4 linked regions of the Caenorhabditis elegans genome follow. The protein of the gene in region 1 interacts with the protein of each later gene in a pairwise test. Each region holds a gene or a part of one and is shown in the gene's direction. Other genes may lie near its edges. The genes, in order: rab-35, ehbp-1, cnt-1 and rme-4.

The links.
Region 2: the proteins of rab-35 (region 1) and ehbp-1 interact in a two-hybrid assay, tested with the Caenorhabditis elegans proteins (one study listed by BioGRID).
Region 3: the proteins of rab-35 (region 1) and cnt-1 interact in a two-hybrid assay, tested with the Caenorhabditis elegans proteins (2 studies listed by BioGRID).
Region 4: the proteins of rab-35 (region 1) and rme-4 interact in a two-hybrid assay, tested with the Caenorhabditis elegans proteins (2 studies listed by BioGRID).

Annotation. Positions count from the first base shown.
Region 1 is NC_003281.10:11,306,135-11,313,500, reverse strand, and holds rab-35 (Ras-related protein Rab-35), read left to right. Parts: upstream 1-1,934; 5' UTR 1,935-1,954; coding exon 1,955-2,063; intron 2,064-2,837; coding exon 2,838-2,961; intron 2,962-3,474; coding exon 3,475-3,599; intron 3,600-4,806; coding exon 4,807-4,931; intron 4,932-6,477; coding exon 6,478-6,624; 3' UTR 6,625-6,854; downstream 6,855-7,366. Other genes in the region: teg-1 (GYF domain-containing protein), read left to right, coding at 670-804.
Region 2 is NC_003283.11:9,548,803-9,556,534, forward strand, and holds ehbp-1 (EH domain-binding protein 1), read left to right. Parts: upstream 1-1,841; coding exon 1,842-1,916; intron 1,917-1,958; coding exon 1,959-2,023; intron 2,024-2,195; coding exon 2,196-2,650; intron 2,651-2,701; coding exon 2,702-2,830; intron 2,831-3,150; coding exon 3,151-3,370; intron 3,371-3,419; coding exon 3,420-4,107; intron 4,108-4,557; coding exon 4,558-4,723; intron 4,724-4,823; coding exon 4,824-4,901; intron 4,902-4,979; coding exon 4,980-5,039; intron 5,040-5,132; coding exon 5,133-5,194; intron 5,195-5,816; coding exon 5,817-5,936; intron 5,937-6,050; coding exon 6,051-6,206; intron 6,207-6,254; coding exon 6,255-6,568; intron 6,569-6,825; coding exon 6,826-6,943; 3' UTR 6,944-7,230; downstream 7,231-7,732. Other genes in the region: nstp-10 (GDP-fucose transporter), read right to left, coding at 1-6, 52-106, 153-238, 1,008-1,034.
Region 3 is NC_003280.10:12,085,848-12,090,663, reverse strand, and holds the start of cnt-1 (Truncated cnt-1), read left to right. Parts: upstream 1-1,795; 5' UTR 1,796-1,802; coding exon 1,803-1,874; intron 1,875-1,919; coding exon 1,920-2,053; intron 2,054-2,191; coding exon 2,192-2,368; intron 2,369-3,022; coding exon 3,023-3,161; intron 3,162-4,043; coding exon 4,044-4,133; intron 4,134-4,816. UniProt on the Caenorhabditis elegans protein: GTPase-activating protein for the ADP ribosylation factor family. Regulates endosome recycling downstream of rab-10 and upstream of arf-6.
Region 4 is NC_003284.9:10,372,713-10,379,777, reverse strand, and holds rme-4 (UDENN domain-containing protein), read left to right. Parts: upstream 1-2,008; 5' UTR 2,009-2,167; coding exon 2,168-2,187; intron 2,188-2,235; coding exon 2,236-2,394; intron 2,395-2,457; coding exon 2,458-2,574; intron 2,575-3,014; coding exon 3,015-3,183; intron 3,184-3,226; coding exon 3,227-3,456; intron 3,457-3,877; coding exon 3,878-3,980; intron 3,981-4,025; coding exon 4,026-4,361; intron 4,362-4,412; coding exon 4,413-4,508; intron 4,509-4,762; coding exon 4,763-4,816; intron 4,817-4,863; coding exon 4,864-4,992; intron 4,993-5,034; coding exon 5,035-5,207; intron 5,208-5,770; coding exon 5,771-6,176; 3' UTR 6,177-6,546; downstream 6,547-7,065.

The DNA of each region.
Region 1 (7,366 bases):
AAAAAAAGAATTTTTTTGAATAAAAATCGGATAAACTTGGTTTTTGAACTTAAACATATTTATTCGGAAAATTCTCGAAAATTTTCAATTTTATTGCATTTTTAGAAGAAAAACATTAAAAATTATCTGAAAATTCACAATTCAGTCAAGACAAAGTCAAAATGCCTGAATTTTTGGTAATTTTGAGTTGAAAAATTGTTGAAAAATTGTCGGAAATTCTCGATTTTATACCGAAAAATCCTAATTTTTCAGCGAAAAAACGGACGATTTTGGCGAAATTCGTGTTAACAAAATAGTTTTTTTTTTTTTAAATGAAGAATTGATTTTTTTAAACCAATTTTTTGGGATATAATCAGAATAGCCTATTTTTAGCAAAAACTTTGAACATTTCCATGAAAATTTGGTGAAAAATGTCAAAAATAGCCAATTTTTATCCAGAAATCGAAAAAATTCAATTTTTGTTAGGTTTAGACCCGTTTTAATCGAAATAGTTTTTTCTTATTAAAATTCACGCTGAAAAATCCGGCAAATCGCCGGTTTGCCGAAAATGTGTTCGAAAAATAAATTAAAATATGTCAAAAAAATTTCAAAAATTTTTTTTTGAAAATTCTGAAATTTTTTTTAATGAAAAAAAGTCTCAAAAAAAGTAAAAATTTTTTCCAATTCCAGGGCCCGATTCCGACTTCAGAAATGATGGATCGCCAATCAAAAGGACTTCTTTCGGCAGAAGGTGTTGCCAGACGTTCTGGAACAAATGGACATTTTAATCCAGTTGCCAGAATTGATTTCGAGCTTTATTTGTAAAAACTCTCCTAAAAAACCTCTCCTCCTCCTCCCCTGAATTTTAGCAATTATATGATTCATATTTCATTTTTTTTTGTTTCATTTTCATTTTTTCCCCCATTTTTTTTTGTTTCTCTGAATCTCGTTTTCACTCTCTATCTCTCTCTCATCACTTAGAACACACATTCATTTCTCTCACTTTTTCCGCCTGAAAACAGCTGAAAAAAAGTCGGAAAAATGATTCGGTGCCGAAAACTTTTCAAATACCGAAAACTCGCTATTCAACATGATATTTATCACAGTTCCGATGACATTTCTCGAGGTTTTTTCAATTTTTTTTTGTAAATTAAATTTTTTTTTTCCCGTTTTTTTTTTGCCCTTTTTGGTCCTAAAATTGCATTTTTTTTCAAGTTTTTAACTTGAAAATTCATTTTTTTGGCCTATTTTCGCCCCTAAAACTGCACTGTATTATATAAAATCCCCAATTTTTTCCTTTTTTAAAAAAGCTTTTTTTTTTAAGATTTTACGGTTCCAAAAGCCGCTAAGTTTCTGCTGAATTTTCTGGGAAATTTCTAGATTTTACATTAAAAAACAAATTTTTTTTAAAATTCTAAATTTTAAACTTCGCTAAATTTCTAAATTTTGGTGTAAAAAATTAGAAGACAAATTTTTTTTTAACCGGTCATTTTCCGAAAATGAAACCTCTGGTAATTTGCCGGTTTGAATATTTCCGGCAAATCGATAAATTGCCGGATTTTAATATTTCCGGCAAATCGATAAATTGCCGGATTTTAGTATTTCCGGCAAATCTACAGTTTGCCGGTTTGAATATTTTCGGCAAATCTGCAACTTGCCGGATTTGAATATTTCCGGCAAATCGATAAATTGCCGGATTTTAATATTTCCGGCAAATCTGCAATTTGCCGGATTTGAATATTTCCGGCAAATCGGTAAATTGCCGGAAAATCCAGTTTTTTGCCGGAATTGAAAATATTTTTTAAAAAATTTTCAAGTGTAATTTTTATTTCATTTTAACTAGAAACTCTAGTTATAAACTAGAAAATGTAATTTTTGTCTAGAAAAAACCGGAAAATCCGAAAAATTCACGAATTTCCTAGAGAATTTTGAAAAAAAAAACCCCCAATTTCCAGGCTTCTGCAACCCAACATCAATGGCGGGAACTCGGGATTACGATCATTTGTTCAAATTGCTGATTATTGGAGATTCGGGTGTCGGAAAGAGCAGCTTGTTGCTCCGTTTTGCAGATAACACCTTCTCTGGTTAGGCATCAAATTTTCTAAGGGAGAAAAATTCAGATTTTCCATTAAAAAAATTTTATTTAAAGAAAACTCAGTTTTGACCCAAATTTCCCAAGAAAATCGGGAAATTGGACAGAAAAACGGCAAAAAACCAATTATTACAAATAATTTTTGTTTTAAAAATAAATTTTTTCTAAAACTTTTGGGTCAAAAATTTGTTTTGTCCGATTTTTATTTAAAAAAATGAATTTTTCCATCGAAATTCTGATTTATCCGATTTTTATATTTGAAAAAATAATATTTTTTGCTTAGAAAATCAGTTTTGAACTCAATTTTCCCATGAAAATCGCGAAATTAAACAGAAAACTTTGAAAAACGCAATTTTTTGCTGAAAGTAGTCAAAAACCTGTATTGCGCGGCTACAAAAATTCTGAGAATGCGTATTGTGCAACATATTTGACGCGCAAAATATAACTATATCTCGTAGCGAAAACTACAGTAATCCTTTAAATGACTACTGTACCGCTTGTGTCGATTTACGGGATCTCGATTTTTTGAAATGAAGTAAATTATTTATTTATCAAAATTAATAAGAAGCAAAAACGAAAATAAATCGAGCCCGTAAATCGACACAAGCGCTACAGTAGTCATTTAAAGGATTACTGTAGTTTTCGCTACGAGATATAGTTTTATTTTGCGCGTCAAATATGTTGTGCAATACCCATTCTCAGAATTTTGTGTTCCTATAATACTGAAAATAGCAATTTTACCAATAAAAAAAATTTTTTTTTGCAGAAAACTACATTACCACAATCGGCGTCGACTTTAAAATTCGTACAATGGATATTAATGGACAACGTGTCAAACTTCAGATTTGGGATACTGCCGGGCAAGAGAGATTCCGTACAATTACATCGACGTATGGCGGAAAACTTTTTTTTTTTTTTCAAAAAAAAAATTTGAAAAAATTGCAATATTTTATCACATTTTTGTTTGCAGAAAAAAGCCCAAAATTTGTGGTTTTTTTTTTTTTTTTTTTTGAAAATCAAAAAACTTTGTGGGAATTTTCAAAATTTAAAATTTCTATGAATTTCAGAGACAAATTTGGAGGAAAATTTCCGATTTTCCGGAAAATCGAAATATCTTCAACTTAAAATTCAATTTTTATCGAGTTTTGTATATATTTTAATGAATAAATTGGAAAATTATAAAAATCTCAAATTTTATCGAATTTTTGTTAAATTTCGTTGAAAAAGTAGAAAATTTACCAAAATTTTGAGATACTTTTAATGGAAAATCGAAAATTTTTTATTTTTTCGAAAAAACGAAAAACTTTTGTGGAAAATTGATACAATTTATTTAAAAATCGAAAATTTTTAGTTTTAGTTTTTTTCAATTTTAGTTAATATTAAAAAATTAACGATTTTTGCAGTTACTACCGCGGAACACACGGAGTCGTTGTCGTCTATGACGTCACAAATGGAGAATCTTTCGGAAATGTGAAACGGTGGTTGCAGGAGATTGAGAATAATTGTGATTCGGTTCAGAAGGTTCTTGGTAAGGAGCAGAAGCAGCTTTTCAGCTGAGCTAAAAAAAATTTTAAAATTACGATTTTCCTCCTTTTTTTTGAAAAGTTGAAAAAAAATGGAAATAAAAGGGTAATTTAACTCAATATCACTATAACTTTTTCCTCACGAGGGACGAGGAAAAGTGGTTTCTAGGCCATGGCCGAGGGGCCGACAAGTTTCAGCGGCCATTTATCTTGCTTTGTTTTCCGCCTGTTTTCTTTCGTTTTTCACAGCTTTTTCCCGTTTTTTCTTTTTCTTCTTTTTTTCTTCTTTTCGTTTTTTCTATCTGATGAATAAATACTTTTTGCAGATGCTAAAACAATTTCCAAGTAAAAAAATTATGTATTCAGTGGGCAAGCAGCGGTGAAAGTGGTCACTGCAATATGATGGATTACGGGAATACAAAACCTAAAATTTTTCTGAAACATGATAAATATGATGCTTAGATGCTGAAATTACCTGATTTTCATAACGAGACCGCTGAAAAAGTTTTGAGGTTTCCAAAATTCAACTTTTTTGGTGAAAAAGTAGAGATTTTCGTACAAAAAGTTGAATTTTGAAAACCTCAAAACTTTTTCAGCAGTCTCGTTATGAAAATCAGGTAGTTTCAGCATTTAAGCAGCATATGTATCATGTTTCAGAAAAAGTTTAGGTTTTGTATTCCCGTAATCCATCATATTACAATGCCCACTTTCACCGCTGCTTGCCCACTGAATACATAATTTTTTTACTTGGAAATTGTTTTAGCATCTGCAAAAAATATTTATTTATCAGTTTTAATAAGAAAAAACGGGAAAAAGCTGTGAAAAACAAAAGAAAACAGGCGGAAAACAAAGCAAGATAAATGGCCGCTGAAACTTGTCGGCCCCTCGGCCATGGCCTAGAAACCACTTTTCCTCGTCTCTCGTGAGGAAAAAGTTGCAGTGATCAATTTTCATAGTTTTTCGCGTTTTTTTTTTTGAGAAATTTGGAGAAATTTTGACAATTTTCCACATTTTTCAAGGTTTTTTTTTGAAGAAAATTACAAAAAATTAACACTAAAAAGTTCCGAAAATGATGATTTTTTTTAAATCTAATTTTTTTTTCAATTTTTTAATTAAAATTAACATTATTTAGAGATATTTTTCAAAAAAACCTTTAATTTTTTTCCGTATTGATTTTTTTTTTCAAAAATAAACAAATAATTCCGTTTTCAGTCGGCAATAAATGCGAAGAAAACGAGCGTCGAGTGGTTTTGGAGAGTGATGCACGTAATTATGCTCAATCGATGAATATCTCGTTTTTTGAGACTTCTGCCAAAGAGGACAAGAATGTCGAACCGGTAAGAACGAAGAAAATATTGAATTTGGGAATAAAAATACATTTATAGTTGAAAGTGGCAAATTACAAAAAAAATTAAATTTTAGAATTTTTCGGTTTAAAAAAATATAACAAAATATATTTTTCCGAAAAAATGTTTAAATATGATTTTTTTTTTAATTTTGGAAAAACCAATAAAAATGGCAGAATTTTTTTTTTGAATTCCCGCTGATAGTGAAACTTTATTCTTCAATTGTTCAGACATCATTCTGTAATGAAAACTTGGTAATAGGAAATAAGTTTGCTGAAGCTGCTCAACAATTAACTTAAAGGTGGGGTACCGAAATTTGAGACTTTACTTTTTCAGATCCAAAATGGCCCAAAACTACCGAATTTCGTAATGAGACGTTCTGAAAAGTTTTCAAAAAAAAGGTATGGCGGCTCAAAGTTTTGGAAAAAATGGCCTATTTTTAGCTAAAATCTTAAATTTTGGCAACTTATCGGTGTCGCATCGGTTGAGACGTAATTTTTATTTGATTACCATTTTTTAATGCATGTTTTGGCATTTTATTAGGTGTTGTTTCGTCGATTGAGATGTTTTTTTGGCCAAAAATATGATACAATTTTGAGTCCCCCTTGGCCAAAAAAACATCACAATCAACGAAACAACACCTAATAAAATGCCAAAACATGCATTAAAAAATGGTAATCAAATAAAAATTAAGTTCCAACCGATGCGACACCGAAAAGTTGCCAAAATTTGAGATTTAAGCTAAAAATAGGCCATTTTTTTCCAAAACTTTGAGCGGCCATAGCTGTTTTTTTGAAAAATTTTCAGAACGTCTCATTACAAAATTCGGTAGTTTTGGGCCATTTTGGGTCTTAAAAAGCAAAGTCTCAAATTTCGGTACCTCGCCTTTAAAGGTGGTGAAATTTTTTAAATTGTTTTAATAGACTCAAAATTGTCTGAAAACACCGAATTTCATAATGAAACTTCTTGAAAAATTCTCAAAAAAAAGTTATGACGACGGCTCAAAAAGTGGCCTAAATTTAGTTGAAATTTGAAATTTGACTTGTCAAGCGGCTGGAAACTAACTTTTTTGAAATTACCGTCAAATTGTGAGTATACAATGTAATTATCTTGCGTTTTCAACTTGATTTAGGTTTTTTAAAGTCGATGGACGGCGAGATTTGGTTAAAAAAATTAAAAATCTCGCCGTCCATCGACTTTAAAATACCTAAATCAAGTTTAAAACGCAAGATAATTACATTGTATACTCAAAATTTGACGGTGATTTCAAAAAAGTTAGTTTCCAGCCGCTTGACAAGTCAAATTTCAAATTTCAACTAAATTTAGGCCACTTTTTGAGCCGTCGTCATAACTTTTTTTTGAGAATTTTTCAAAAAGTTTCATTATGAAATTCGGTGTTTTCAGACAATTCCGAGTCTAATAAAGCAATAAAAAAAATTCGAAAAGCGTAAGGATTGGAATAATTCAAAAAATGTTTTTTTTTCATAGAGTTTCAGTAAAATTTTCAGAAAAATTAATTTTTTCCCCATTTTTTCAGATGTTCACATGCATCACGAGCCTCGTTCTGACCGCCAAACTCGCAAATCCCCAGTCGGCTTCAAAGGATCAGAGCCGCACGGGCGGTGTATCTCTCAAGGACAATTCAGGAAGCACCAATCAGAAAAAGAAGTGCAAATGTGGATAAATTTTTCGTTTTTTTTTTTAATTTCTCTCACCATCATTCTCTATATTGTTTCACTTTGTACTATCATCAAAAATCGCAAAATTCTCGAATTTCCCCTCCCCTCTCCCCTGCCTTCCCGCATGTGCATATACAACAGTTTTATTCCCAATTTCCAAATCGATCGACTGCTTTTTTTTTTGGCTTTCTATCTGTTTTCCCCTCCTTCCTAAATTACTAAAATATTTAACTTTTTGACGAATTCTTTTCAGGAAATTGTTTTAAAATCCAAAAAAAGAAAGCTAATTTTGTGATATTTAATTTAGAGAAAAATTTAGTTGAAAAAAAAAAATAAAACTAATTTTTTTTTAAATACTAATTTTTGTTGAAAATTCCCATAACTTCATAATTTTTCCTTTAAAAAAATTTGGAAGATTATATATTTTTTAAAGTTCTAAAAAAAACCTTAAATATTTTAAAATTCTAATTTTTCCTAAATATTTTTGTTTGAAAATTAATTTTTTTTCGTACAAAATTTGATAGAAATTCCGAAATTTTCACTTAAAAAAATTAAAATTTTCTCTCACTAATTTTGGCCAATTTCAGAATTTTTTCGAAAAATCACCACTTTTTGTTTAAAAAAAACTCAATTTTTTCCAATTTCTTTGCCTAAATTTTCTAGAAAAATTCCCATTTTACAAATTTATCCAGAGGAATGGATTTTCAATTAAAATCTTGAAAAAAACTAAAAAGTAGAGAAAATTGG
Region 2 (7,732 bases), on another chromosome or scaffold:
ATCAAGCTGAAAAAAGAATAATTATTGATGTTCGAGAATTGAACAATTTACCTGCACACTAGACAGCAAATACTTGTTGAGAAACACTAATCCTATTGAGAAGACCCTGAAATTGGAAAATTTAGTTGAATAAAGAAACCTGAATAGCGTACCAATATGCTGAAACAGCTGTGATGACCTGCTTGTAACTCTCCCATTTGGTTGGATTCTCACGATTTCTCATAGCTTCGAAGAGGGCCTAAATTAGAATGAAACGTTTATGAATGGTAGTTAAGGCGGGAGGCAGGACAAACATAGAACGTGGAAAACGTAGAAATGGAAGAGGACGAGAAACAGGCAACACCCGACAACTAGGCCATTGTTGTCGAGTTAATTGCGGGCATTGCTGCCGCAGTTTCTGCTCGATTATTCAGCTTTCTAAGGTTTTAAAGAGTTTGAATTCGTATAAAAATTATTTATAATTAATTGAGACATTTGTAAAAGTTTAACAAAGGTGAAAAAGTAGTTTGTTCACAATAAAATTAACAATATCGTGAGTAATTCTTTACCTGCTTAAGAAATAATCAATATCGAAATCGGCTTTTAACTTTTTTAAAAATATAATTTAATTTTTTAATTTGTGAGAATACAAACGCATTTATGGAGGGAATTACCAAGGAAATAAAAGAAATAAAAGAAAAACCCCTCTGCAAAAATTATTTCGGAAAAAAAATGTTTTCAAACAGAATAACAATGTGCAAACACGGCCACGTCGAATTACACAATATTCTATTTACAGTAACGTGTCTGCGTTTTTGCGTGACTGTGAATGCAGACGCAAAAAGACGTAAACGTTTTTCACGGCCCGGCAAGTGGTACATCCATGCAAATGCGCTCTACTGATAATTGGAGTGTAGACCTCTCCAATTTTTTATATGCATCATAAAAAAATACCACTTCTCGGGCCGTGTTTTTTAGACCAATTTTTGAAAACGGTTTTTCAATATATTGTTGCAATAAATATCTACTTTGTTGTTTTCTTCATGCAGTTTCATCGTATTAAATTAATTTTTGTCAAACAATCACTGTGGTTATGCATATAGTTCTCGATCAAACCATTTATGTTCCTCACGTTTATTAAATATCGCATTTTCGATAGCTCCTCATGTTTTCTGAAAACGTTACTTAATGGTGTTTTCAGAATAAAAATTAACTTATTTATTCTGACTGCCATTTTTTGTTTATGGGAGAACACTTGAACTTCGACGGCGCGCTGAGCAGAGTTAGTGTAACGGGCGCTGGCAGCTGACTGATACATAACGACGAACACTCGAAAAGTAGCACTTGTAACTAAATGCTAAATCGAAAACCTACCGAGAGCGTGAGAGATGGCAAGAAGTGGCCATAAATCTTTGTATCGGCGGTCTCAAGTGACCAATCCAACTCGATCTAGTAACATTACACGATGCTCTACTGTCAGATTGTTTTTGTTATTCTCTCCTCTCCCTTTCAGTTTTACTAAATTTCTATTGTTCATTTTCTTTAAAATAATACAAATTCTTGTGAATCACTGGATAAAATAACATATTTCAGACCTTCTCTTTGGAGCTCCAAATGCTCTTTTCTTTTTACCTCTGTCACTCTCTTTTCCTTCTAGTCTATCGCCTCTCGCTCATTTTATCAAATCTTCTCGCCGCCGTTGTCGAATGAGGAGGAGGAAGACGGCTGCGCCCATTCCTCTCGGTTTCCGCCGCCTTTCCTTTCTTCTCATCTCCTCAAATATCCATTTCCGTACGACAAATCGAAAAGAAATTCTTCGCATTACGCACCTGATTACCATTGTTTTAACATATAAATTGCAGATGGCGGGTATTCTTCGTCGACTTCGGAGATCCAATAAGAAAGCTGCCAAATTTAGATTTACAGTTACTCTTCAGGTTCGTTCTTGATACTTTTATCTCAATTGTTTATTATTTTAGGAATTACATCTCTACACCGACGAACAATGGAAACCAGAAAACCTTGCAGTTTCTTTCGTTCATAGGTGAATACATTTTCTTATCAAAGAATAATAAATGTCAATCAGAAAATAGACACAATGCATCATGATCATTATGGAAATTTGAAAAAAAAAGAAAAATATTCACAAGAAAATAATACGAATCGAAAATAAATAAAAAATTGTTCATGAAACCTTTATCATACAATTTTTACAGACGACGAAAAGTATCATCAAAGGAACGAAAATGGGAAGAATGTTCGGACGCTAACAAATGTTTGATTATGTGGCCTGAGCAATTTTCAGAGAATATAGATATTCTTACAACATTATATCGTATTGCAAGTGATGAATATGAAGATAAAGAATGGACGATTGTTGTTGAAGAAGTAACTGCTAAAGGAAAAAGAAAAGCAATTGCAGCAGTGCCACTCAATGTTCGCTTATTTATTCTGGATCTACCCGATCATAAAAGTGAACTGAAGCTCAAGCTCCGTCCATTGACGCCTCATTTGAAATTGTGTTCCCTGATTATTCTTCTTGGAAGTTCTCTTATTTCGGAAGTAAATGCAGATGATGTTAGTATTACTTCGTCAGCTGCAGCCTCTTTTGTTGAAAAAGTTCCAGTAACAGATGAAGTTGATGCGAGTGCAAATGATTCCAGAGCAGCAGGTATTTTGATTGAAAAAATACAGTTTATTTCACATAATTTGTTTTTTTAAGCTGCAAGACAACAAATCGACACGACAGCTACAAAAATGATGGAATGGATCAAAGAGGAAAAGGAAATCGCTCCGCCTATTGTTCCAGCACACCGAAAACCTTCCGGAGAGAATGAAAACCCTGCAAAAGGTAATTAGAAATCGTTTTTTAAACCTAATCGTTAGAATTTTTGGCTAGAATATTTTCATGGAAAAAAGTCATATAGCCTAAATTCGTGTGTGGTCATCAAAAAATTTGTAGATTTTTTTCATTTTTTTTTCAAGGAACATCGAAAATCGAAAAAAAAATTCGAAAATTATCCAGAAAATGATATATCAAAATTTGTTTATGTTGATGAAGAAAAAGGATTAAAAAAACCAAAATAAATACTCGAAATTTTTTTTTTCAATTTTTCGGAAAACGAAAAATCGAAAAACCGACACCCGTGGCTCTTATAGAATGTATTTCAGTTCGTCCCCAATGGAGAGTATCAGCTGAAGAAGAAAAAACGTCACAACCAGCAGCTCCAGCGCCAATTGCAACCAACAGACATAGTCGGTCAAGCCGTGCTTCGACAGAAGAAAAAGCGTCTACAACAATAGAATTCCGTGTGGATTCCAATTCTCGGCATGTTCCAGTTACAGCAATCGCTACACCATATTATCTTCAAAGTGGAACAATGAGTAGAGGGTATTGTTTGGTTACTTTTCTCACAATCATAATTTTTTTTCAATTTCAGAAGATCAAATTCTCCGAGAGCTCCATCTAGAGATGCTGTCCCTCAACCGATCGATGGAGAGACTTTACTTTCATGGTGTCAGAGAGTTACTAACGGATATTCGCATGTAAAAGTTAATGATTTTATGAAATCTTGGAACAACGGATTGGCCTTGTGTGCAGTTCTTCATTCTTATCGCCCGGATCTCATTGGAGATTACGAAACACTGGATATCTCTAATAATATGTCTGGACGCATTTCGAATATTCAAAGAGCCCTCGATTCACTTACTTTGATAGGAATAACAGAAGTACCAACAGTTGATATGTTTCTGACTCCTGATCGGAAACAAATAGAATTTCTTCTTCAACATCTTCGCCGAATCTTTGAAGGATTTGACGAGGGATCTACACCAGCCAGTGCTTCTGATCACAGAATATCCAGAACATTTGGAATTAATGAATCCGAAGAAAAAGTTGTTGCCATGATTACAGAAATTCGAAATCAAAAAGATCTCGAAGAAGCTGTGGATTATAGACACATTCCTGATGAAGTTCCTGTTACACCACAGTTGGCTAGTCGCAATCCGGCTCTCAATCAACCAACTGACGCTGATGACGATGATGCTGAAACTTCAAATATGCGCTTTGAGAGAAGTAATGTAAGCATAACCATGGTGACTCCAGGAGTTGGAGCAATTCGTGCATCGGTGAGTTTTTATTGAAAAAAAAAATTTTAAAATTTTAAATATTTAGTTTTTGTTTTTTTGTTGAATTTCGAATTGAATAATGCTAATTATTTAAAATAGTTATTGAAATCTTTTTTCACTTCAATTCTACCATTTTTAAGATACTTTGTGTGTATAATATAACTGAAATTATAGGAAAAAAACAGGTTCTTTCAATCGTCAGATTTCTTGGTATATTTTCTTATTTTATTTTTTTAATGCAATTTATAAGGTTATACATAACTGAACATTTCCTACTACCATATAACAGCTTGATAAAAATTGCGACACAACTTAAAAAACTTATTAAATACTCGCCCTTATAAAACTCAATTACATTTGTTCCCAGCGAAATAGTCTAATCAATTCTTTTTCCTAATAGATATCCAATTTTACGAGATTCTTATTTTTGAAAATCTTTACAACTTTCAGAATCGTGCATCACCTTCAAAGCGAGATGAACTACGCCAAAGAGCACGTGATTTAATTGAAAAATCAACAACTCCTGCAGCAACACCAAATTCACGGAAAGCGAGTGATGAAGAGAGAAGACGCGAAGAGGTCAGACGGATGCTGAACGAAAAGCAGCATCCAACGGGTGAGAAGTTTTTAAAAACACAAAAGTTGTCGTGATTCTCTATAGTAATCTCCTTTGTTGTGATTGTTTTAATTATTTCTACCGTGTGTTCCCATTTCAGCAATCCCCTCTACTTCATCATCACCATATCCCACTTTCCGTCGTATCGATGGATCAAATACCGATCTTCGTCGTATTGGTTTGTAACATTTTCAGATCATGCTCCGATTTAATTGTTTTAGTGTTGTGACAAAGCATGTAGTGAATTTATTTTCAGAACTCGATGTACACAAGTTCAAGAAACGTGATCCATCTCCGACGCTCGTCCGCAAACAATGTACATTTTATTATTTCCTCATAGTGCAGTGATTTTTAACATGTCAATTGCATTATTAGGAACAATTTCATCTTAATTTTGTTTTAATTACAGACGATCCCAATGATACTCCTCATGTGCCAGCAATTGGTCGTGGCAGAACAAATGGAAATCGGGTCAGTCATTAATATATTTAAATTCTCGGCATTTCGTGCCTACTTTCTCCCACCTTTTCGCCTTCCGGCAAAAAGGTGGGAGAAAGAAGACGCGAAATGCCGAGTTAACAGTTTAATCCCGAATAGAGCATTATTGGCAACACCGATTCAGGAAAAATATGTGTACCTTTAAAGATACAGTTACTTCAAATCCTCGTTGGTGAGGTATTTTCATAGATTTTTCATAGTTTTTCGATAAAACTTTTTTTTTTATAAAAAACTAAAATAAAACAATAAAACACACATAAATTTAAAAAAAAACTATGAAGAATCGATGAAATATCGACAAATACGAGAGCTTGAAACCTTGCGTCAAGACCAGCTACCGTATATTTTGTCGCAAACTATTTTGTCAGTGTAATAAGTTGTCTGATTTTCAATTTTAAACATTTGAGTATTATTTTAAGCTTTAAATATGAATGTTGTCAATTAGCTGTCAATACCACTAGCAATCCTCATTTCTATCTAACCATAATTTTTCTTTCGTCGATATTATCTTTAGTTCTTCTCTGTTCTATATTTTCTTTTTTATCATACACCGCATTGTACAGTATGCCTAACAAGTGTTTTGCTCACATTTCAGAACGATTCATCAACTCCTTCATCAGCTTCTACATTTGATCGTGTCAAGAGATATGGGAGTATGCGTAGTGCAGAATTGAAAGAATCGTTGCAGTTGATGGCGAAACAATACGGATACATGGTTTGTGATGTTGTAAAAAGTGTAATGTAATGATTTTTGCTTCTATTTTAATCAACATAAAATTTAATCATGGGTGCAAATTGAAAGTTACCGTCTAAATGTTATTATTTTTAGGGAAACGATTTCGAATCATCTTCGCAAGACGCTCTGGCGACACCAACCAAAAAGTTCTCTTCCCAATGGGAAAAAGACGTCGATGACGTTGAAGGAACCGCCAATGAGCTTGTTCGTATTGACGAACGTATATCGGATATTACAGCACAAGCCGATGTAAGATTCTGAGAATTAAAGGATTAATTCAGTTTGTTTTGTTTTCAGGTTATTCAAGACAAGATCCGTGAAACAGAAGTTGGAAGTTCAGAAGAAGAAATGTTGACTGCATCATATCTTGAGTTGACAAATGAACGGAACACTCTTGTACATCGACAGGAATACTATAATATCATTGAGACAATTCGTCAGGTTACTTCGGAAATTGACCAATTGGGAAAACAAATCAATGAAGTTCCTGATGATTTCCCTCGTTCTGATGAGAATAAGACGGCAACGGATAAACTGATTGAACAATATAGTGATGCTATGAAAACAAAAAGTAACTTGGTTCAAAAGTTATTTGCAACTGAGGACGAAATGTAAGTGTTTATTGCTTTGTTGAACCACGTGGTGTCAGGCTGTCCCATCACGGTTTGATCTACAAAAAATGCTGGAATTTTTCGCCTAAGAAAGTGCCGTCAGCACGTTCTTAACCATGCGAAATCAGTTGAGAACTCTTCGTCTCAACTTCCGAATTTTTTGTAGATCTACGTAGATCAAACCGAATGGGACATTCTGACACCACGTAATAAACTACTTTCAGTGAAACTAATGAAACAACATTCGAAATTTTCAGCGAAGAAGATTCGGATCGTTTGAAGAACCTTACTTTGGATAGGGCTACTCGCTTTGTTCGTGGAATAGATCAGCCTGTTTCAGCATCGAAGCGACTTATTCAATGGTGGCGCCGTTAATACGCTTCAACGTTATTTATTACTCAATTTAAAACTACGGGTCTTCTTCTCTTTCTGAAAACAAAGTTTCTCCCAGTGTCCCTTTGTTATCTTCTATCATTTTTTCTCCTTTCCATAATTCACTCTTTCCCGTTTTTTTGGCAAATTTTTAGGAGTTAATCAAAACATCAAATTTTTCTCTATCTTTTCATCTCTATGTGTATATTTTTGTATTCAGTTTTCTTTTCTCTCGGTGCACACAAATCCAAATGCTTTCAGCTTTCAATAAATCAATTCAGAGTTTTAAATGATGTTCAGCAAAAATTCATTCGAAAAAAGAGGAAAGTGTGTGGAAGACTGGTGAAAAATACTTTACACGTGGAAATATTTAGCGTAGAGATCAAACAAGTGGGATAGGAAAAAGCAAGCTCGAATTGTGAGGGAATGTACTGAAAGAAAAAACAAATAAATTTGAGAAATTGAGTGATATGGTTAAAAAATGAATCGCATTTTGCAGGAAAAAATACTCGTATGCATTAATTTGAAGAAAAATAGATGAGAAGAATAAACTTAATATTGTACTCTCATATTACGAGAACACTAAATCCTGAGAAGGCGTATTGCGCAACATATTTGACGCGCAAAATATCTGACCGAAAACTACAGTAACTTTTTAAATGACTACTGTAGTGCTGGTGTCGATTTACGGGATCGATTTTCACTTATGTTCGAATTGCGACAGTGATATTCAGTTTTTCGTATTGTTTTGTCATTTTTGTGTTTCTTTTAATATTTAATCGATTAATAAAA
Region 3 (4,816 bases), on another chromosome or scaffold:
AAATTTCAATTCCGGCTGTTTGTCATTTTGCCGATTTGCAGGAAGTTTCAATTCTGGCAATTTGCCAATTTGTCGAAAACTTTCAATTCCGACAAGCTTGTCGATTATCCAGAAATTTCAATTCCGGAAATTTGTCGATTATCCAGAAATTTCAATTCCGGCAATTTGCCGATTTGCCGATTCGCCGGAAAATTCAATTCCGGTAATGTGCCGGTTTGCTGATTTGCCGATTAATTTTTGAGCTTTTTTGCAATGTTTCCAAGTCAAATAAAACATATTTTCAGATAAAAAAATTTTTTTATTTTATCACTAAATTTTGATGAAAAAAGTATTTTTTGTTGGATAATCACGTGGTGCCAGGCTGTCCCAACACGGTTTGATCTACAAAATTGCGGGAACTTTTCCCGCAAAAAATGTGACGTCAGCACGCTCTTAACCTTGCGAAGTCAGTTGAGAAGTCTGCGTTTCAACTCCCGCATTTTTTGTAGATCTGCGTAGATCAAACCGAAATAAGACTCTGGTACCACGTGTACATATGTGTAATGTTGTTGCATTGCAAAATTCCAATTTCCCCGTAACTCTTTCTCGTCTGCCTAGAAAAGCAAAGTAAGAGAATATTAAATTAGTTGCGCTCTCGGTGCCTCCCCTTCTCCTCCTCTCACCCAATTTCATTCTCAAGCTCTCTCCACAAAAAAAGAGTATTGAAAATCAAGAGAGTTCCTAGAGAAACAAGCAGTGAATGTTTATATACGACTGTCCTTTTTCTCCAAAAATTTCGTCCTTTTCTTCTTCCCCCCACAAACACAATGACCTCCGTCCGAAAAGTTGTCGCGATGTTCTTCTCCCGCCGTCTAACTGCCTGCGTCTCTTCTCTATTTCTCTCCCTCGTTTTCCTGTTCATCACCATCATCATCAGCGGCAGCCGTAGCGGCAAGAGAGAAGAAGAACCGGCTGTTTTTCTGTTTTTTTTTTCTGTTCTGAGGCTTTTGTTACGTGTCTTGGAATTTTTCTCTTTTTCCTTTATTGTGCGAGTGATATGGACTTTTGGTTTTCTTTAAAGGCGCATACGGAAGTTTAAGTTGTTGAAAAAAACATTTGAAAATGTTTTTTTTTTTAATTTCAAAAGCCACGTGGCATATTTACAGCCACTTATCAAAAAAAAAGTTTTTTTACCCAAAAATTGTTGGTCGTTTTTATAGGATTTTTTTTGCGAAATTTTGGAAATAAAATTAATTTTAAAATTTAAACTTAAAACTTTTATTTTAACATTGGGAAAATTTTGTTATTTTCCATAAGTTTCGATAATTTTTGTACAGAAAAATGGTGATAAAATTAGTTTTTCTTCTAAAAATCGGACTTTTCAGACTTTTTTGAATTTTTTTCAAGTGAAAAATTTAAGCAATTTTTTTAAAATCAAGACTGTTTTCAGTTTATTTTTCTATTTTTAGCTATTAAAAATGAAAATTTTCAAGAGAAAAATGTTTTTTTACCATTTTTTCGACATTTTTTCTATTAAAATTGCGTTTTTAAAAACCAAATTAATTAATTGATAAACATGTGCTGTCAATTTCAATGCCAAGTACGCAAACACCACAGCTGCACAGTACCAGATCTACCGTACTCTTCAATTAATTAATTGAAGAGTACGGTAGATCTTGTTCTGTGCACCTGTGGTGTTTGCATACTTGGCATTGAAATTGACGACGCAATATTATCAATTAATTATTTTTGATTATTTTTTCTCAATTTTCAGCCGAAAAAACTCAATTTCTTCGTATAAAATCGATAAATTTCCAGATTTTATGACAGTATCAAACAATGGAATGGCGATGCCGTCTGTTCCGCCAAAAATCGACTGCTCCGAGGCAATTCAGGTAGAAATTCCCTCAAAATACACCAAAAACCTAAAATTTTTGCAGGATTCTCCAAAATTCCGCGCAACAGTCGCTCAACATGCAATGTATTTTAATCGATTAGAGAATCGGCTCAACGAAATGCTCCGACACATCACTGCAATGATTGATTTCAGCAAAAATTATACGAACACGTTTTAGTACGTGAAAAAAATTCATTTTTGGGGTCTCGAAACGATTAAGCTTTCAGATTACTGTATTTTAAAGGCACATAGCGAAAAATAATCGTTTCAAAACCAAAAATTCAAATTTTCTCAAAAAATCCCCGTTTTTTCCAGCAAATTAACGGTTTCGGTGAATCAATTATGCGATGAAAGCTTCTCCGGCAATCCATTGGCGTCTACAACATTCCAAGGATTATCAGAAGCCTATGCACACACTGTTAACCTATTTCGCACGTATTTCGACCATTCAAATGTGGTCACTTTCACGAAACTGTCGAATTTCATTAAAATGTGAGATTTCCGGAGTTTTTTTTGGCGAAAAATCATAAAAATCGATAAATTCTGAGTTAAAAAGGCCGAAAATTACAAAATAACGAGTTTAAGCGAATTTAAATCAAAATTTCGTTTTACTTTAAATTTAGAGGTGAAAAATTCAAATTTCCCGCTGATTTACTAGATTATTCATTCTAGAGGTACAGAAAATTGACAAATTTGAACAATCGAAAATTTTAATTTTTTTTGAACTAAAGGTATTTGGATTGAGCTAAAAATTTTAAAAAAATTTTTGAGCCAGAAAACTTCAAAAAAATTTCTATATTGGAAAAAATTAATTAATTAATTAATTAAATAAATTAAAATTCCTGTAAAAAAATTTGCAAAAAAATAGGCAAAACTCGATTTTTTCTCGGGTTTTTTGGTAATTTTTCAAAAAAAAAATCTTTTTTGAAAAGTTGAATTTCCCGCCAAATTAAAAAAAAAATCAATTTTACGTATAAAACAATATAAGGCAATTTTTTTCGAAAAATAATAAATTTCCAGCCAAAATTCAAGTGTTTTTAACCAAAAATCGCATAATTCACAACAGAAAATTGAAAATTCAATTAAAAATTAGATTTTTCGAAATAAAAAAAATTCAAAAATGTTTCCTCTAAAATCTAATTTAAGTGAGCTCACAAAAGTGGCAGAATCCCGTGCACATTTTGAGAATATGTCCCAATCAATGGATGATGCATTAGTCAAAAATGCGAGTATTTCAAGGCAAAAGCCTGCAGATGCGACAGAAGGGCGAAATGCACTTACTGCGGTGAGTTTTTTGAATTTTCAACGAAAAATATTCGAAATTCTCGATAAAAAACCAAAAAAAAATTCATCCAAATTTTTGAAAAAAATTTCTTTCTAAAAATAGGTATTGTACTGAAATTTTTTTTTACAAATTAAAAAACAGATATCTTTTTTTCGCCAAAAAAATTACTTAGTGATTTTTTTTTGTAAATTTTTAAAATTTTTTCTTCGAGAAATATAAAAATCGTAAATTAATTTTTGCAACAAAAATTATTGATTCATCAAAAAAATGTTAACTTTACTGAAATTTTTTTTTTAAATTTAATTTTTCGAAAAACTAAAAAAAACAGAGAAAAAAACCTAATTCAAAATCGACTTTCTTGAAAAATGCCCATTTTTACTGAAAAGAAATTTAAAAACATTTCTTTTGTAATTTTTTAAAGATTTATATTTTTCGAGAAATATAAAAATCGTTAAAGCGAACAATCAATTTTTTGAAAAAAGAAATATTGATTTATCAAAAAAAGCCGATTTTACAGTAAAAAAAATTCCAAATATATTATCTTCTTTTTTATTTTTTTCAAGATTATTTTATTTTTCGAGAAATTGTTAAAATAAATAATTGATTAATTTTTGGATAAAAATTTAATAATGTTACTGAAAAAAAAAGAATTTTCTGAAAAAAAAAGTCTATTTTTTAAACAATAAATCGAAAAATTTAAAAATGTTCTTAACAAAATCAAAATTTCTGGTTATATAAAACATTCAATTTTGTCGTTTTTTTTTTTGCTTCACCTTAAATAGTTTCTCACAAAGCGTCTCAATTGCAAGAAAAACCACTCAAAAACCCTTAAACAAATAAAAACATTTTTTTTTTCAAACCAAGAAACCCGCTCTTTTCCAGGTCGGCACTTGCTTCGCACACACCACACTCGACTACGTGGCAAATATTAATATTGCACATGCACACAAGGACCATATGATTCTCGATGCGGTTCGTTTTGAATTTTGAAAATTGTTGGTTAAAAAAATTAGAAATTCCCTCGGCTAATGTGAGAGTTATCACATAAAATAACGGAAACTTTTTTTTTCCAAAAATTTGAAAAAAATTCAAAATATTTTATTTTTAGCTGTAAGAGTTTTAGAAAGATCAATTTCTTGATTTTTTGCTCAAAAATTTAAGAATTTATAAATTTTTTTGTAGCCGTTTAACATTTTACTTTTGCCAAAAAAAAACATTAAAATAAAATTTTTAAAAAAATTTTAACTAAAAATTCAAAATATTTTATTTTAAACTGTAATGCATTAGAACTTTGTTAAAAAATTTGTTTTTGAATTTTTAAACTCAAAAACTTGAGAGTTTTGAAATTTTAAATTTTGCGAAAAAGCCCGAAATAAATTTTTTTAAAAGTTTTTTGACTCAAAAATTACAAAATTTCTCAATTTTTAGCAGTTTCGCATTATAATTTTTCACTAAAAATTTCAAAAAAACTTTTTTCCACTGTAGTTATAGTTTTGGTAAAAAAAAATCAAAAATAATTTTTTTCCCGTTTTTTACTCAAAAATTAAAAAAAAACATCTCAATATTAGCCATTTTCCTTTGAATTTTTCTTATTAAAATATTCAAAAACTTCCAACTTTTAGCCGTTTAGCATTCTAAATTTGGTAAAAAACATT
Region 4 (7,065 bases), on another chromosome or scaffold:
TTTCTCCTTTTGAACTTCATTAATTGATTCACCTTCTATTTTACTTTAATTTATTTGACCGAATAAACATTTTTATTTCTTTTTTAACAATCAAAAAGTTTTATTTTTCATTGCACATTAATTGGAGAGAATTATCCTTGGTGAGTTTTTACTGTTATCTTTACACCAATTTTTGTCTTACTCATATGAAGAAACATTTTCAAATTAATTTTGTTTTTAACAAGGAAATATCACCACAATTTTTGTGTTTATTCATTGCACGAAAATCTAATTATTCGGTTTGTAGTGAAATTGTAGTTTGGGACTTATACATTTTAACCAGTATTCTCTTATTTTTGAATTTTTGGAAACTTGAAATTGTATTTTGTATTTCGTACCCCACACTAAAAAAAACTATTCAACTTTCCACTACTACTCCTGAATTTCTGGTTTCCAGGGACAGCTCTCACGGTCCCATTTCCAAGACAAAGCATCATGTTGCTTAGCAATTGTGAGTAACAAACAGAACGTGGAACACAAGCCGGTGGTAAGTCTTCTCAGCAGGTACTATAGATGTCATTTGAAGAAGGAAAGGGTGAGCAAGGCGTTCTATTGTCGTAACAAGACCATTCAGACTCTCGTAGCATTTATCGATTCGTCACTGTGTTTATTCATTTCGTCTATCTTTCCTCCTCTTTTCATTGCACAGTGTCCCCACCTGACGGCGGGAAATACGCACTACATAAACTCGTCCCGATTTGAAGTGAACTTTTTTAATTCGCATTTTTGTAGTTTTCTAGGTTATTTTTCTTTTAATTTGAAAAGTAAATTTTACAATAAATTTGACTTGATAAGTCGTTTTTTGCATAGACATTCAAAATCATATGTCCATGTTTCTTAAACTTCTTCACTTTTTTCTCGTACAAATCGCTTAGATGGGCTATTTCTCTCTTATTATATGAGCACAACGTTCTCTCGCTTGCAATGTCAGAAATAGATTGCAGTCTTATCCCTCTACAAACTGTGCATGCACATTCTCTGCGTCTTTTCATTCCTATCAGTGACTAGACTCTTTTTCTTCCAGAAAAAAAACATTAGATGACAACAAACTGTTCAGTTTTTGCAGATAGAGTTCGGCTTTTGGAAGTTAAGTTTTCTGGCATTTATGAAAAAAAGATTGCTCATTAGGACCGTCAAATTTATGTAACGTTAACATAGAAAATATCAACAATGAGAAAAGCAAGCAAAACATGTTTGAAAGCCTTATTGTTTTAAAATAGATAGGTAGCGGAATTTATTTAAGAAAATACTTTTATTGAGTCAAAAGTATTTGTTTCTTTAACCAATAAATTTTATGTTCCCATTTTTTTTGAACTTCAATGTTTCCAAGTTTAGCAGTTTGATATAATATTCAAAACTAACGAAAATTTGATCAAAAATTTGAACAAAACGAACAAAAAAACAAAAAAACAAAAATCTACAAATCCGCTTTTTAACTTGAAACCCCTAAAAATATGTAATTTAAAATACACAAAGTAGCCTACAGTTAAACTCTGTATGTTATCAAATTCTGAAAAACACAACGAAATTCAGTATTCTGTTTTCTCCTTTTCAACAGCCCATTTCTCATTCCATTTGACAGCTCTATTTTCCTCATCCGTCACAGGACTGCGCGATACTAAAAAAAAAGACACATGTTTCTTTTTTTCTTGGTATTGTTACCCAGTAGTCTGAATAGTAACATTTCTTGATTCTTATGTGATGCTTTTGGTGGCAGCACCCATTTTTCTTCTTTACTCCATCCTCTATTTCTAAATTTATGTCACTAATTTTATCCCATTCATTCTCACGCCTTGTTCGCTCTTCATTTTTTCCATGTTTCTTTTCCTTCTCTTCTATTGCTGTAGTCTCTCCTCGCCCTCCTCTTTTTGTCGTTCAGTCGCGTGTCAGCTGAATTCACAAAGAGAAACGCGCCAGCAGTCTTCTTTTAACGCAGTTTTCGTTTTCCGTTCTTTTTATTGTAATATTGCAAGTGTTTCCTGCTGTCGCCGCCCAGCAGTTTTCAGTCCGTTTGTTCCCAGTTGGGTGGCTGAAGCTAACCTTCAATTCAATTTAACAATTGTCTTCGATCTCTAGATCTCTTCTCTGCCGTTGGTTCCATCTCCCAATTGGCTTTAATTTTTCACATATGACCTATGGAAGATACAGGTGAGATTGTTGTGAAATGTTCAATCCATTTTTAGAATATATTTTCAGAGCTGACGTGGCCACCCTGTACGACGTCTTCTGCGAACTTGATGCCCCGAAACCTGGCGAAAAGCTTGCTATTTTAAGACTCCAGTATCCCGACGATTTCCACGATCCAGCTATTGTGAAAAGTGTTCAACAGTTTGCATTTCCATGTCAACTACGAGAGTACGTAATTGTTAAAAAAAAACTAAATTGGTATGGAATTAAAATGTTTTTATAATATTTCAGAGTAGAAGTCGACGCAGTGCAATTATTCAGTTTTGTTCTAACCGATTCGAACTCCAAATTCTCGTTTGGATTTTGCCGTTATACACCAAGAACCGACACGTGCATCTGCTTCTTGAGGTGAGAGTGATTTTCCATCATTACTTTTGACAAATAGCCGTCGTTTGGTTTTGTCATGGGAAAATGAGTCCTGAAGAGCAGAGGAGAAGTATCATATTTCGTTTTCTTTTCTATTCCTTTTAAATAAACTCTTGCAAAAACGTTAACGAAAAAAAGAACAAAACAGAGTTCGTTTTTTCTTGTGACTTTTAACTGTTGTTGTTGTTGTGTGATGCGAAAAAATGAAAAGAATGTTAAACGCGTAGGATAGGATGACGAATATGATTGCAATATTTTAAAAAAGAAAACGATTTGTGATGGTGAACATTATTATCACAAGAACTTAAAAAAAAATACAAAACCGTTTGCTTGGAACTAAAATATGCTTTAAAAAAAGGCGGTAGAAAAGAGTAGAGAAGTAGTCAGAAAAATGTCTCTTTAAAAATATGAATATTTTACAGTGGATTCTTCTGGCCAAATGTCTTCTTCAAAGCTCTTAACGATATTTCTTTGGTGATAGGTTCAGCGCAAAGGGAAGATGTTGAATCAGTGCTCACCAAATTCTATCACACAGATATTCCAAATATTGACGAATATTTACGATTTGCTGATAGTAATCAAACAGATGGAGTAAGAACCTTAGTTTATATCTAAATGTGCAATATTTTCTCAGCACAACTATCGAGTAGTGTTTGCTGAAAAAATTCCCGATCACACGCGATTACCAACTCTTGGCTCGGATAAGTTTTTCCTCGAGTTCTACAACGCCATCGACCCTCGGCAGATGTTAGCAATCTTTGCAAGTCTACTGAAAGAACGTCGTATTCTGTTTACTGGGCGGAAAGTTGGATCGTTGAGTTCATGTCTCCATGCGGTCTCGATGCTTCTCTACCCAATGTGTTGGTGAGTAATATAAAATTTCTAACAAAAATGTTTACATAAATATTGGTAGCAAGAGGCATTGCAATCGCAGTTCTGTGATAGCAGTTCTGAGATAACTAAGAAACTAAAACAAAGTACGTAATACCACGTAATAAGAAATCGTGGTTAAGAAATAAAAATCAAAAGCAATGTAAAAGGGTATACAGTATAAGATAACTTGTTATATTATTTAGTGATGCATATACATAGAATTCAAGTTTCTCTTAAACAATCTTGAAAGTACTTGGTGAAAAATTTGAATTCAACATTAACATCACGAAACATTTGGTCTTGCGACTGTATTTAATCATAGTTTTAGGAACAAAAATTCTGAACTCAATGATGAGGACGCTTATTGAAAAGCTATTAAATTTTCTAAAATGTACTTCAATGTATATTTCAGGCAATCAGTTTTTATCACAATTCTTCCCGAGTCTCTCGTCGACATGGTAATGGCACCAATGCCATACTTGATAGGCGTTCCAAAAACTGTTTTGGAAAATGCGGTTTGTGAATTCGAATAGATGTCCCAATATTGTATTTTATTTAAGAGGCTGAATATAAGAGACATCGGCGAAGTGGTGATTGTTGATATTGACGAGAAGACGTTAACAAGCCCATTCGATGATGTAGCAGCAATGCCTCAAGAAGTTGTAAACTTTTTGAAAGCACAACTTCGGTCGCAGTCAGCAATGGATGACACTTTTGCAAAGCACTTCTTACGAGCTATGGTTATGCTGTTTGGTGACTACACAAGTGGATTTACTGGTGATACGCCTGAAACTCTGGTTTTTTCCAAAGAGCGGTTTGTGGTGCAACAAAAACCATCCTACCAAGCATACGTATCATCACTATTAGGTGCGGATGGTGTGCAGTACCTAGAAAGAGTGAGTTTCCGCACAAGCATATTGATAAGTCGCAATAATTAAATATTTTAGTTCATCCACGACCGATTAGAATTGTACAAAGACGGACACGTGCCAGGAGACCAGTTCGAAATTGAAATCGAACAGATGGATCTGAAAAACCGGCCGGTAAGTGATGAAGCAAATGTTATCATAGCTTGTATAACGCAATGACGTTAACTCGTCGAGTGTGCGGACATATTCCAACATTCAGCTAAATCATCATGAGCCAATGGTGCATACTACGGTGCAATCAGTAAGATTCGTGTTGTCAAACAGTATCTCAGCAACTTGATTTTCAGTTTAACCAAGTGCATGACTTTTGAAAAATTTTCTAACTTGTTCGGCATCTAATTTTTAATGCAATTGAAAAGATTTTCCAGGTCAAGGAGAATGCCAATGACGTCATCGGAGCATTGAAAACTTCTGGAATACAAGTATTTTTCAACCCATTTTAAGTTATTTGAAACATTCAAATTTCTAGATTGCAAATCGTCTCCAGAAACTAACGCCTCGGGAAATACGAAAAGCAGCGGCAAGAAAAAAAGCACACAATCAAAATGGATTTGAGCAGTCGCCAATGTCTTTTGATAACCTACAATGGGATGCAACGGTTTGTTAGAAAATAACAGAATGTATTAATATTTTTGAATAGTTCCAGAAAAGTGACGAAAACGAGGGCTTCCCGGTGGAAACAAGGATGGACAATGTTCCAGTAGCCAACCTCATTGATTTGGATGAACCTTCTACAAGTTCTGCGTCTGGGCTTACATCAGTGGATGAACAGTACTTTCTTCGTCCCTCCGAACTTGCAACTAACAACCGCAAGTGAGTATTTGATCAAATAATCAACCCAGAAAAAGTATAACGCTGTGGCTCTTTGTAGAACTTTTTCGCTCTATTTTTCTGGCAACCAACAATTATCTGTTCGTTGTGCGCCTGCCTGAGTTTAATCCACTTTTAATCTATAAGCTTCTGGCTGTTTCTGTCTAGGTAGAAGTATTTTGGAAACGCTCGGAAATCTCATAATTGCTTATATGTAGAATAAAAAGTAATGTCGCCTTATAAACAAAAATCATACTTTGTTCAAATATAACGAGGATCAAAAAAATTGCAGTGTGTCCAATGAGAAGTCTAATGCATTTGATAACTTCTGATGATTTGGTTTTCTAACACCGTTTCAAAAATAGTTTCATAACTAAAAAGAATTAAAAAAAATTTCATTTCAAGCTGGTGCTTGAAATGCTGGTGCTTGTACATGCTGGTACATTTTGTATAGTAATCTTGATCAAGATATAAAACATGTATGTATTGCCAAAACCTGGTAATTTGAAAACCAAATCTGTTACTATGTTATTCGCAAATCAGTTAATTATTTTACAAATGTTCAGGTCGCCATCTGGAGCAATAGGAAACGTATTTGCCGACCCATTTGCGACGTCACCAGAAGGCTCGGCGCCTCCATTGCCCTCTCGACCCCCACCACCTCTACATCCTCGCATGATTCCTGGCTCATCGGTCCAGTCAATCTCTCCAAGTGGATCATCAGCACCTCACCTACTCCATTTTCAACAAAGCCATCAGTGGGCACAAGTCAGCCAAGTAGGAAGCGTACCATCAGCGATGAACCCATCTGCACCCGATTGGTATGCTCCTCCGCCGCTACCTCCCCGACGACCTGCATCAGTTGGCCCATCGAGCACATCGTCAGGGCAACCAGCAACTGCTTTTGCCACTAGTTCAGCAATACGAGTCCCCCCTCCTCCGGTTCGGAGCAAATGGGAAACTTTCGAGTAGAATACAATCATGTGATAACAAAATGAAAAACAAATTATTTATGTGTATGAAATTTGAGTTTCTATGGCTAGAGTCGTATGGTTACTTTCATAAATTTAACCCATTTCTTTCCCCCTTCCCACTAGTCAAATTATTTTGTTTTTCCATATTCTCATATTTTTTAATCGTTTGTTCCTTGTACTCCTGCGAGACTGAAGTCACAACGATAATTCAGTCATTTTATTCATTTTGTTTAAGTATATATTTTTCAAAAATCCAAAGGAACTTGTCAAATCAAATTGTCATCGAATGCCGGCATTCTAACTTTTTCTTGTCAAAAGTATATATTTATTTATTTTTCTGGTTTGGAATAAACAATAATGTTGGGTGACTTTTCATTCAGTTTATGTTATTATTTCAATTTATTTCAATTTACTCACTTATTTTAGCATCTATCGAAAGTACTTAAAAACTACAATATACTGGACAGCTTCCATTTAATTTTTTTTGTTTTAATTTTTGAATGGAGTAGCGTCAATACGGTAAATATTTGAAATAGATCTTTTGTGACAAAAATAATTCAGTTGAAAGGATAAAATCGTTTTTTTTAGATTTCAAAAAAGTTATCCCAACTGGCGCTATAAAACTTTTGAGACTTTGGAAAATATCCCATAATTTTAAATGGAAAAAATATTATGCTTTGACAATTTTCACAGTATTTACAATATATTGGAAAAGTGAACCAAACGTATCTACGACTACCCTGCATCATAACACTATTTCTCCTGCATATTAACAGATGGCCGTCCTCGTCTCCTCCGCTCTTCCCCTTCCTGGGGCCCCTGCCGTCTGCTGCCTTTTGCGACCGTCTAGCTTCTCTCACTCAATGATTTCTATATTATTTCTCTTT